2 linked regions of the Mus musculus genome follow. The protein of the gene in region 2 interacts with the protein of the main gene of each other region in a pairwise test. Links are inferred from orthologs where the notes say so. Each region holds a gene or a part of one and is shown on either strand. Other genes may lie near its edges.

What was found. The genes of interacting proteins can lie anywhere in the genome.
Region 1: the proteins of Ctbp1 (region 2) and Nol4 interact in binary tests that used the Homo sapiens proteins (3 or more experiments, as listed by UniProt). The link is inferred for Mus musculus from reciprocal best matches to the Homo sapiens genes CTBP1 and NOL4.

The regions. Positions count from the first base shown.
Region 1 is NC_000084.6:22,692,650-22,695,824, reverse strand, and holds the end of Nol4 (nucleolar protein 4), read left to right. Parts: intron 1-690; coding exon 691-884; 3' UTR 885-2,670; downstream 2,671-3,175.
Region 2 is NC_000071.6:33,272,187-33,276,601, reverse strand, and holds the start of Ctbp1 (C-terminal-binding protein 1), read left to right. Parts: upstream 1-1,597; 5' UTR 1,598-1,783; coding exon of another isoform or gene 1,784-1,823; intron 1,824-4,415. UniProt on the Homo sapiens protein: Corepressor targeting diverse transcription regulators such as GLIS2 or BCL6. Has dehydrogenase activity. Involved in controlling the equilibrium between tubular and stacked structures in the Golgi complex.

The sequences.
Region 1 (3,175 bases), on a different chromosome or scaffold from region 2:
TACATACTTACCCAAACATGGGCCAGCCTGCTCTAAACAGTCCCTTATTGAGACTTCCTTCCTAGATATTTCTTGATTGTGACAAGTGGACAAAGTATCTACACAAGCCCTGCATAACAGCAAGCCAGTCAAATGTTAACATGGAGAGAAGTACTCACACAGCCCTACCCATGGCTGAGAAACTCCTGATACCACTGCATCTCCATAGGTCCAAGCTCCCATAGATAGTTTAATGCCCATGCCCATGTCCGCAGCACTAATAGCAATCAGTGGGCCTTTAAAAAGAGAAATAAAGTTGGGAGGGAGACTTTGTTAATGAATGCAGCAAATAGAAATATTTGCAATTCATCATCTTAATACTGGTACACTGCAGCTTCTGCACCATGTGGGAGACAGACTCAAATTGAACTCTTCTAACAGACGGTGTTCAGGTGTTCAAAGGATTCGAGTCTTCCCTATAACACGGAAGGATGGCTGGAAACTGTCCAAGATACCTGAAAAAAAAATCCTCAAGTCATATCACACTAGTCATTAGTCTTTCAGAGCACAGATGCATATTCGATTATAGAGGCCACGAGTTTCTCATGAAAGCATTCTTGAATAAATGCAATCTTAATTTGATGGGCACTCACCTGTGAGATCTTAGAACAAATACTATTCCTGTCTTATTTTGTGATTCTTTTTGTCTAGGACCCACAGATCTGAGCATGAAGAGGCAGCTGGCAACTGGCTCGGGATCGTCCAGCAGCTCAACCTCCAGACCTCAGCTCAGTCCGACGGAAATCAATGCCGTGAGACAGCTTGTCGCCGGTTATCGAGAATCGGCTGCATTTTTATTGCGTTCCGCAGATGAACTGGAAAATCTCATTTTACAACAGAACTGAGGCAAACGATGTCTGTACTCACTGGGTTCTAAATTTGCAGTTTCCACTAATGACACTTGATTTTCCAGCAGAGATACTCCTAGGCTTGCTGCACAACCTTTTGAGGGAAGCATTTCCATCATGCCAGGCTGTCCTTGCTCCATACCCTGGTGTGTTAAGGAACTTCACAGGAACTCTGACCTTGAAGTACTTGAGATGCTCAAATGTGCCCAGCCTGTTGCTTTATGTTTTAGTGTGTCAGCATAAATATCATAAGCAGATTTTTAAAAGCCTGGATATTCTTAATTCAAGGATAAAAATGAAGAAGCTTGTGGTATATATACATATATATATAAAGCTCAAGATCCAACTGAAATATTAGTGGAATTTTCTACTGACTCATTGGACTGAAAGATGAAGTATCTGGGGAAATAAAAAGCCAAATTTCTTGTTGCTACAGGATATGACAACAATGAAAAGGATCTTGTATTTTAAAAGAAAAAATGTAATTTTTATAAAAAGAAAACTTGTTTTTCATTCAGAATGGTCATTTTTACTTTGGTAACTTTTTCATAGGTCCTAAAAGAAAACTGTTTTTTGAGAAACTATTGTTAAGTACCCTTCCTGCATCCCTTTTGCCTTCTCCTCTTTCCAAATTCTTTCTACAAAAGAAAAATAACAACCCTCAATGCTGGAAAACCCTTTGCCTACTTTCTGTAAGTCAACTCATCAGGAACTACTTCCAAGAGATGCCTCCATTTCCAGTCTCAAAACACCCACGCCACACGGCAGCTTACCACAGAAGTTTTCATCCCAGAATTTTCTAAAAGTTATAAAAAAGACCATGTTGAAAACAAAACAAAACCCAGCCCCTTGCGCGTGCTTTCCTCAGAGCTGCTCGCCCCTGGTTGTGCTACCAAGCAACCCTCCAGAGCAGCGACTGGGTGTAGATGACTGAATGTTACTGAGGTTGCAAGTGACAATCTTAAACTTTGCACTCTTGTATGTATTTCTCATTTCTTTTGGAAATAGTTTCCAGGAAAGGCTGTTATGTCTCCTGCTATGATTTGTATCATTTAAGCTTCTGTTCTTGTTTTAAATTGAGAGCTCTCAGCCGATCGAGCTGGATCTTAACAACGAACTCTCCCCTCCTGTCTCCCAGGCTCTGCCATTTTCTCTATTTCTAGTGTTAGACACACTCTGAGTGGTATTTTCTGTGCACTGAAGCAGCCTATTTTTAAAATATTTAAGGAGAAGTACCTTAGCTCATGCTTGTACTAGTTCCCTTTCTGTTGTTTAGCTTCGGTTGAATTACAAATTCTTTGTGCATTCTTGACTTTGCCTTATTTTATGTAAAATCTCTGTCATTCGGGTTTTGACAATGAGTTGAAGGCATTAGTGGCATTCCTTACTCCTTACATCTAGTTTTTCAAGTACTGACTGTGATTGTGACCAGGTAATGTGCACTTTTTCTTGTAACTGTGGACATTGCTATGCTTTTTTCTTCTAGTGTTTCTAGAACTATTGTTCCTTACAGTTACGTAAATAAAAAAAAACAAAAACAAACAAACAAACAAACAAAAACAAAAAAAATTTGTGATACTGTTGGTGACTATAATGTGAAAATCTTATTGAAATATGAGTATTTTGGAAATACATAGATGCACAAACATCTTTTAAAGGTGTGAATTTAGAGTTTGCTTATTTAAGGAAAATTTAAAATTTTGAGGGCTGGTATAATTTTTCTCTGTTTTGTTTGGTTTAATAAACAGATTTCTGTGTTAAAGAAATGATTCTGAAAACTTCTAAACTTTGTTTTGTTTTTTGTGGTACTAGGGGTCAAACCACGGTGCAGGCCTGGCAGTGCACGCCATCAGTCAAGTACTCTAACCAAGGCATGCACCTCTAGCTGCTTATAAATTTTAGTACTTAAGTTCTATCAGTTTCTGTTTAAAATATGAAGTGCAGTCTTGTGACAGTGTTTGAAAAAAAATAATCTTCTAACTTCCCCCTAAATATCCCATTTTGGCATTCTGAGACTGCACTCTGAAAAGTGAAGAGGATCCGCCAGTCCAGGTTACTACAAAGATTGTTTACATCTACTCAAAAGATAGATGTTCTTTTTAGCTTTATTGCTCATTTTTTTTCAAGTATGACTTGGCTTTCATAAGCCTTCTCGACTGCCCCATGTCTCCAGGGCTTAGGTAAGTGGCTGAGTGTGTAAAGTGTTTGTTCTGCAAGTATGAGGACATAAGTCAGATCCCTAACACCACACACAAAACCAGGTATGGCCACAAATGCCAATAATCCTA
Region 2 (4,415 bases):
CTCAGGAGCAAGTGCTTACAGGTGCCTTTGGGCAATCCTAAGGTCATAGGGTCTCTTAGGATGGGCATGTTCAGAACCACCTGTGCATCTCCACATCTCTACCTAGTGGCTTTCTACCTCACATCCGCAGGAGCAGACTCCTGCCTGCAGGGACCATCCCTGGAGTAGGAGTCCAAGCCAGTGTGATGGTGACAAGAAGCCTGGGTTTCCGAGGCTTCCTGGGAGGTTTCCGAGGTTTCCTGGGAGGCCCTAAGGGTTTTTTTTTTCTTTTTTTTTTTTCCATTTTTTTATTAGGTATTTAGCACATTTACATTTCCAATGCTATACCAAAAGTCCCCAATACCCACACCCCCCCCACTCTCCTACCCACCCACTCCCCCTTTTTGGCCCTGGCGTTCCCCTGTACTGGGGCATATAAAGTTTGCAAGTCCAATGTGCCTCTTTCAAGTGATGGCCTATTAGGCCATCTTTTGAGCCCTAAGGGTTTTTATACAAGCCCTGATATAATCCCTCACAAGGATGGAGTGATGTGGTGGTCCTAGTCACAATGTGCAAGAAAAAGTGGGAATTTGGGCAGCCTGAGAAGGAATAGGAGGTGTCACTCTGCCATGGAGTTGCTATGTTAGGATGGAACAACTGGGAGGAGCCCTTTGGATGGATCTGTAGGGAGTCACCTGCAGCTCGAGAAAACTGGAACAGACCAGGAGAGACAGTCCAGGATAGGGGTGGGGATTAAGGGAAAGTGTACATCTGCTGGCTTTCCCCCCTAGCCCTCAGTCTATTTAGGAAATACTGTAGCAGGTTTGAGACTCCACCTGTTAGATCTTTTTCTCCATCCATGTCTGCCAATAGATGGAATTGGAAGGTATTTTCAAAGCATTTTTTCTGTAAACAGATGCCCAGGCCCTTGTCATCCCTCATTGATACTGCCCACCTTTCTCAAAGATTTGATTTTCAAAACTCGTAACCATATGGCCTTCAGCATCCTTCAGTTTGGACTGTTCCCGTGATGTTATTATTATTATTATTATTAATTATTATTATTATTTTATTTTATTTTATTTTTTTTTATTTTTATTTTTTTTAACAGCTAAGCGGTATCCCTCGCTACGCCTGTCTGACAGTCCCACCAACAGTCAGTCGCTTACTCTGGGGTGGCCAGCGGGCATCTGTCCCTGCGCACAGATCACTTTCCCTGGCTGGGGCGCTGTCCAGCTCCTGGGTCCTGGGTCCGCGGCCCCAGCTCTAGCGCACAAGGGGCCGAGTGAACCGCTCTCGCTGTCCTCTTGAGGCCCCGGCGACTAGACTGGTAGCGCCCCACGCGGATGGGCTGCTTCACCACTCAGGCTCCGGCCCAGGTCACCGCGCCAAGGAGTGGCAGGGGCGCAGTCCGGGGTACGCGCAGGGGAGGGGAGGCCGGGGGCGGGTACAGCTGGGGGCGTGTCCAGGAAGGGAATCCAGCCTGGGAGGGGCGCTGGGGGTGGGGGCCGAGCGTCGGGCCGGCGGGCAGCTGGGCCCCTGAGCCGCCCGCGTACGTCCAGCGCGCCGCCTTGCCTGCAAACAGCAGACCAACCGAGGCCACGCCCGCGCGCGCGCGCCGCGTGTCCCCGCCCGCTCGTCGGTCGGAGCGCGGCTGGCGGCGCGGTGGCGGCTCGGCACGGCGGTGGCCGGGCGCAGGCGGCCGGGCGGAGTAGCAGACTGCGCCGAAGCCGCCCCAGGCGCAGGGCTCGCGGCGGCGGAGAGCGCCGGACTCATCGGGGCCCGCGGCCACCCGCACCTTTCAATGGGCAGCTCCCACTTGCTCAACAAGGGCCTGCCGCTGGGTAAGGCCGCGCGCGCGCATTTCCGGCTGCGGGCGGGGGGTGGAGGGGCGGGGGCGGGGCGGCCGGGCGCGCGCGGCGCTGGCTTTGTGTGCGAGTGCGCGTGCGCGCTCGCTGCGCGCGCGCCTGGTTGGGGGGGAGAAACCCAGGAGGCCAACGGGTGATGCGCATGCGCGAACTGCTGCACGCGCGTGCGCGTCCCTATTTTCCGATGCCCGCTCGCGACCCGCGCAGGTGACAAAGGGGCCTGTGGTGGTGCGACCCAGACTGTGACCGAGCCGGGCCTGTCTTCCTGGCCCGGGGTCCCGCGAGGATCCTTCTCGTGGACACCCAGCCGGGACCTAGGTGTTCCCGGAGTGACGAGCCTGCGGATTCCGCATGGGCCTCGGGTCGGCAGATCCGGGAGCGGGTAGTCTCTAGAGGTGGCGCTGAGGGAACATGGGTGGCCTACATGCCTATCACCCCTCTGGTCGACTTAGTGATGCTCAGCTTGGCACCTGGATTTGGACCACTTACGTTTTTTTTTATTCATTTATGAAAGTCCTTAAGCCACAGGGGTCCTGCCTGTGGAGGGCAGTCCTTCCTTGGCTGCGTTCCCTGGCCGCGTAGCCTGGCGCACGCGCAGCGAAGACGACCCCACCTTCGGGCGGGGCAGCCGAGAGGTTTCGGATTAGGGAGGAGCCTTTTGCCCACCGTCCAAGTGCCCTACAGTGTCCCTCTCTTTGGCGCTTCCACTTTAATGACCACACGGCTTGACCCCCAGCTCTGTTCTCACAAGGGCACTGCCTTCTTCCTTATAGCCTGAAAGCTGGCAGGGGATGAATCCTCGCAGCGTGTGCTGCCAGCAGGAAATAAGGAACTGTAGGCAGGAGGGAAAAAGGGAGGCGCCCTGTGATGGCCCACTATACCTCTTATCACACAAGGCCATTTTGCAGATCCTGTCAGTTTGTTTCAGGGTGTGGCGGGGTAAGGCCCTCCAGGCCTGCCTTCATCCTGGACTGGTGGTGGGTACTCCTCCCCTACACTGCACCTCTTCAGAGCTGAACTCCCTGGAGGCTCATGTGTATACACACACACACACACACACACACACACACACTTTTGTAGGAAGAGGCTCTGCACCCAAACCAGCAGGGTTATAGTCCAAATTTCCCATGGGGTAGGGAGGGCAGGCCCAGCCCATTGCCTTCCAGAAATCAGCAGGACAGCCTTGCCTGTCAAACCTTTCCTGGCCCAGGGTTATGTCCCTTGTCGTGTTGAGCTTTTGATTGATTAGGACAAATTTGCCTTGTAGGAAGGAAAAGGGAAGGAGTTTAGCTGTCCAGTATTTAGGAAAGTGAACCCAGTGAGCCAGGGTGTCAGCAAGATGATACCTAGCAGTTTTATTCCCCGGGTAGTATGTTCCCTTACTGTGTTTTGCTTTGTCACTTCCAGATTCAGAGCACGTGTCCAATATAAACAGGGATACACAGGATGCTTACCCCAGTGTGATTGGCATGCAGGACATCGGGGCTCCATTATAGAGTTGGACTAACATCTTTGAGACCCCGGGGGAGCATGATCTCTGGAAGAATGATAGCAGGATGTGAATATGGGCTGGGCTCATATGTGTGTTCTCTCTGTTTCATCTGCAACATGGGGTGACAGCTGTGGGATGTGCCAAGTTCAGGGACAGCGTTGTGGTGTAGTGTGGGGTCATACTGTTCTCCGGAACTCTATGAGTTTGCTTGTCTTGTTACTATTTAGGGTGGCAGCTGTGGTTTGAGGCTGCTCTTTCTCTGCATGGCCCTGCTGTATGTGTCAGCCTGGCTTCCACAGATGTCTGAGGGCACTGTGCCATGTTAGTTGTACATAGTGTGGGCTGGGGCCTGTGGAATCCTGGTGGGACCTCAGTGATACACTGTCCTTCTCTGGCTATTCTATCTTCTGTCACCTGTGGACCTGTAGCAGGTTTCAGCTTGTGTTTCGCCCTTTTCCAGATGAGTCTCATGCTCAGAGAGGTCTAGTGTCCCCTTCAGGGTTCTAGGTGGGACAGACTCCTGTCCTTCCAGCAGCTCACTATTTCCTACCTGCCTTTTGTACTTCATTGGTGAGTGCCCACAGGGTAACCTGGCAAGAAACTTGTGTGGACATTGATCCTTAGATCTGGGTACTGCTGAGGACCCCCTGTCCATGAGACCTACTAGCTGTGTGGCCTCCCGGCATGGTATGGAAAGCAGACATGTCCTGAGGTCTGTACTGCATGGCAGCACCTTTACACTAGCTTTCATTCTTCTAGTGTCAGGAAAGGATTTGGCTTGCTTGGTGCTGGGCAGGGGGCCTGCCTTCAAGCCCCGGGATGTAAACTTCTTCACAAGAGAGGCAGCGGCTTATGTGGACTTGGTTTTGTAGTTAACCCATGGCACCTGAAAGTCTGTCAGCACCAGTGCCTGCATTCTGCATCGTCACACTCACTGTTAGCAGTGACTCTGGGTTCTGTGGGGTAGACGGGTTCAGCCTACCGTGTCTTTCAGCAGTCCTGCAGCAGCTGCAGCGTCCTTGTCCCTCTGGGGCTGAGGGCCATGCTCACAAACATGTACTATCTTTCTCAGAGCC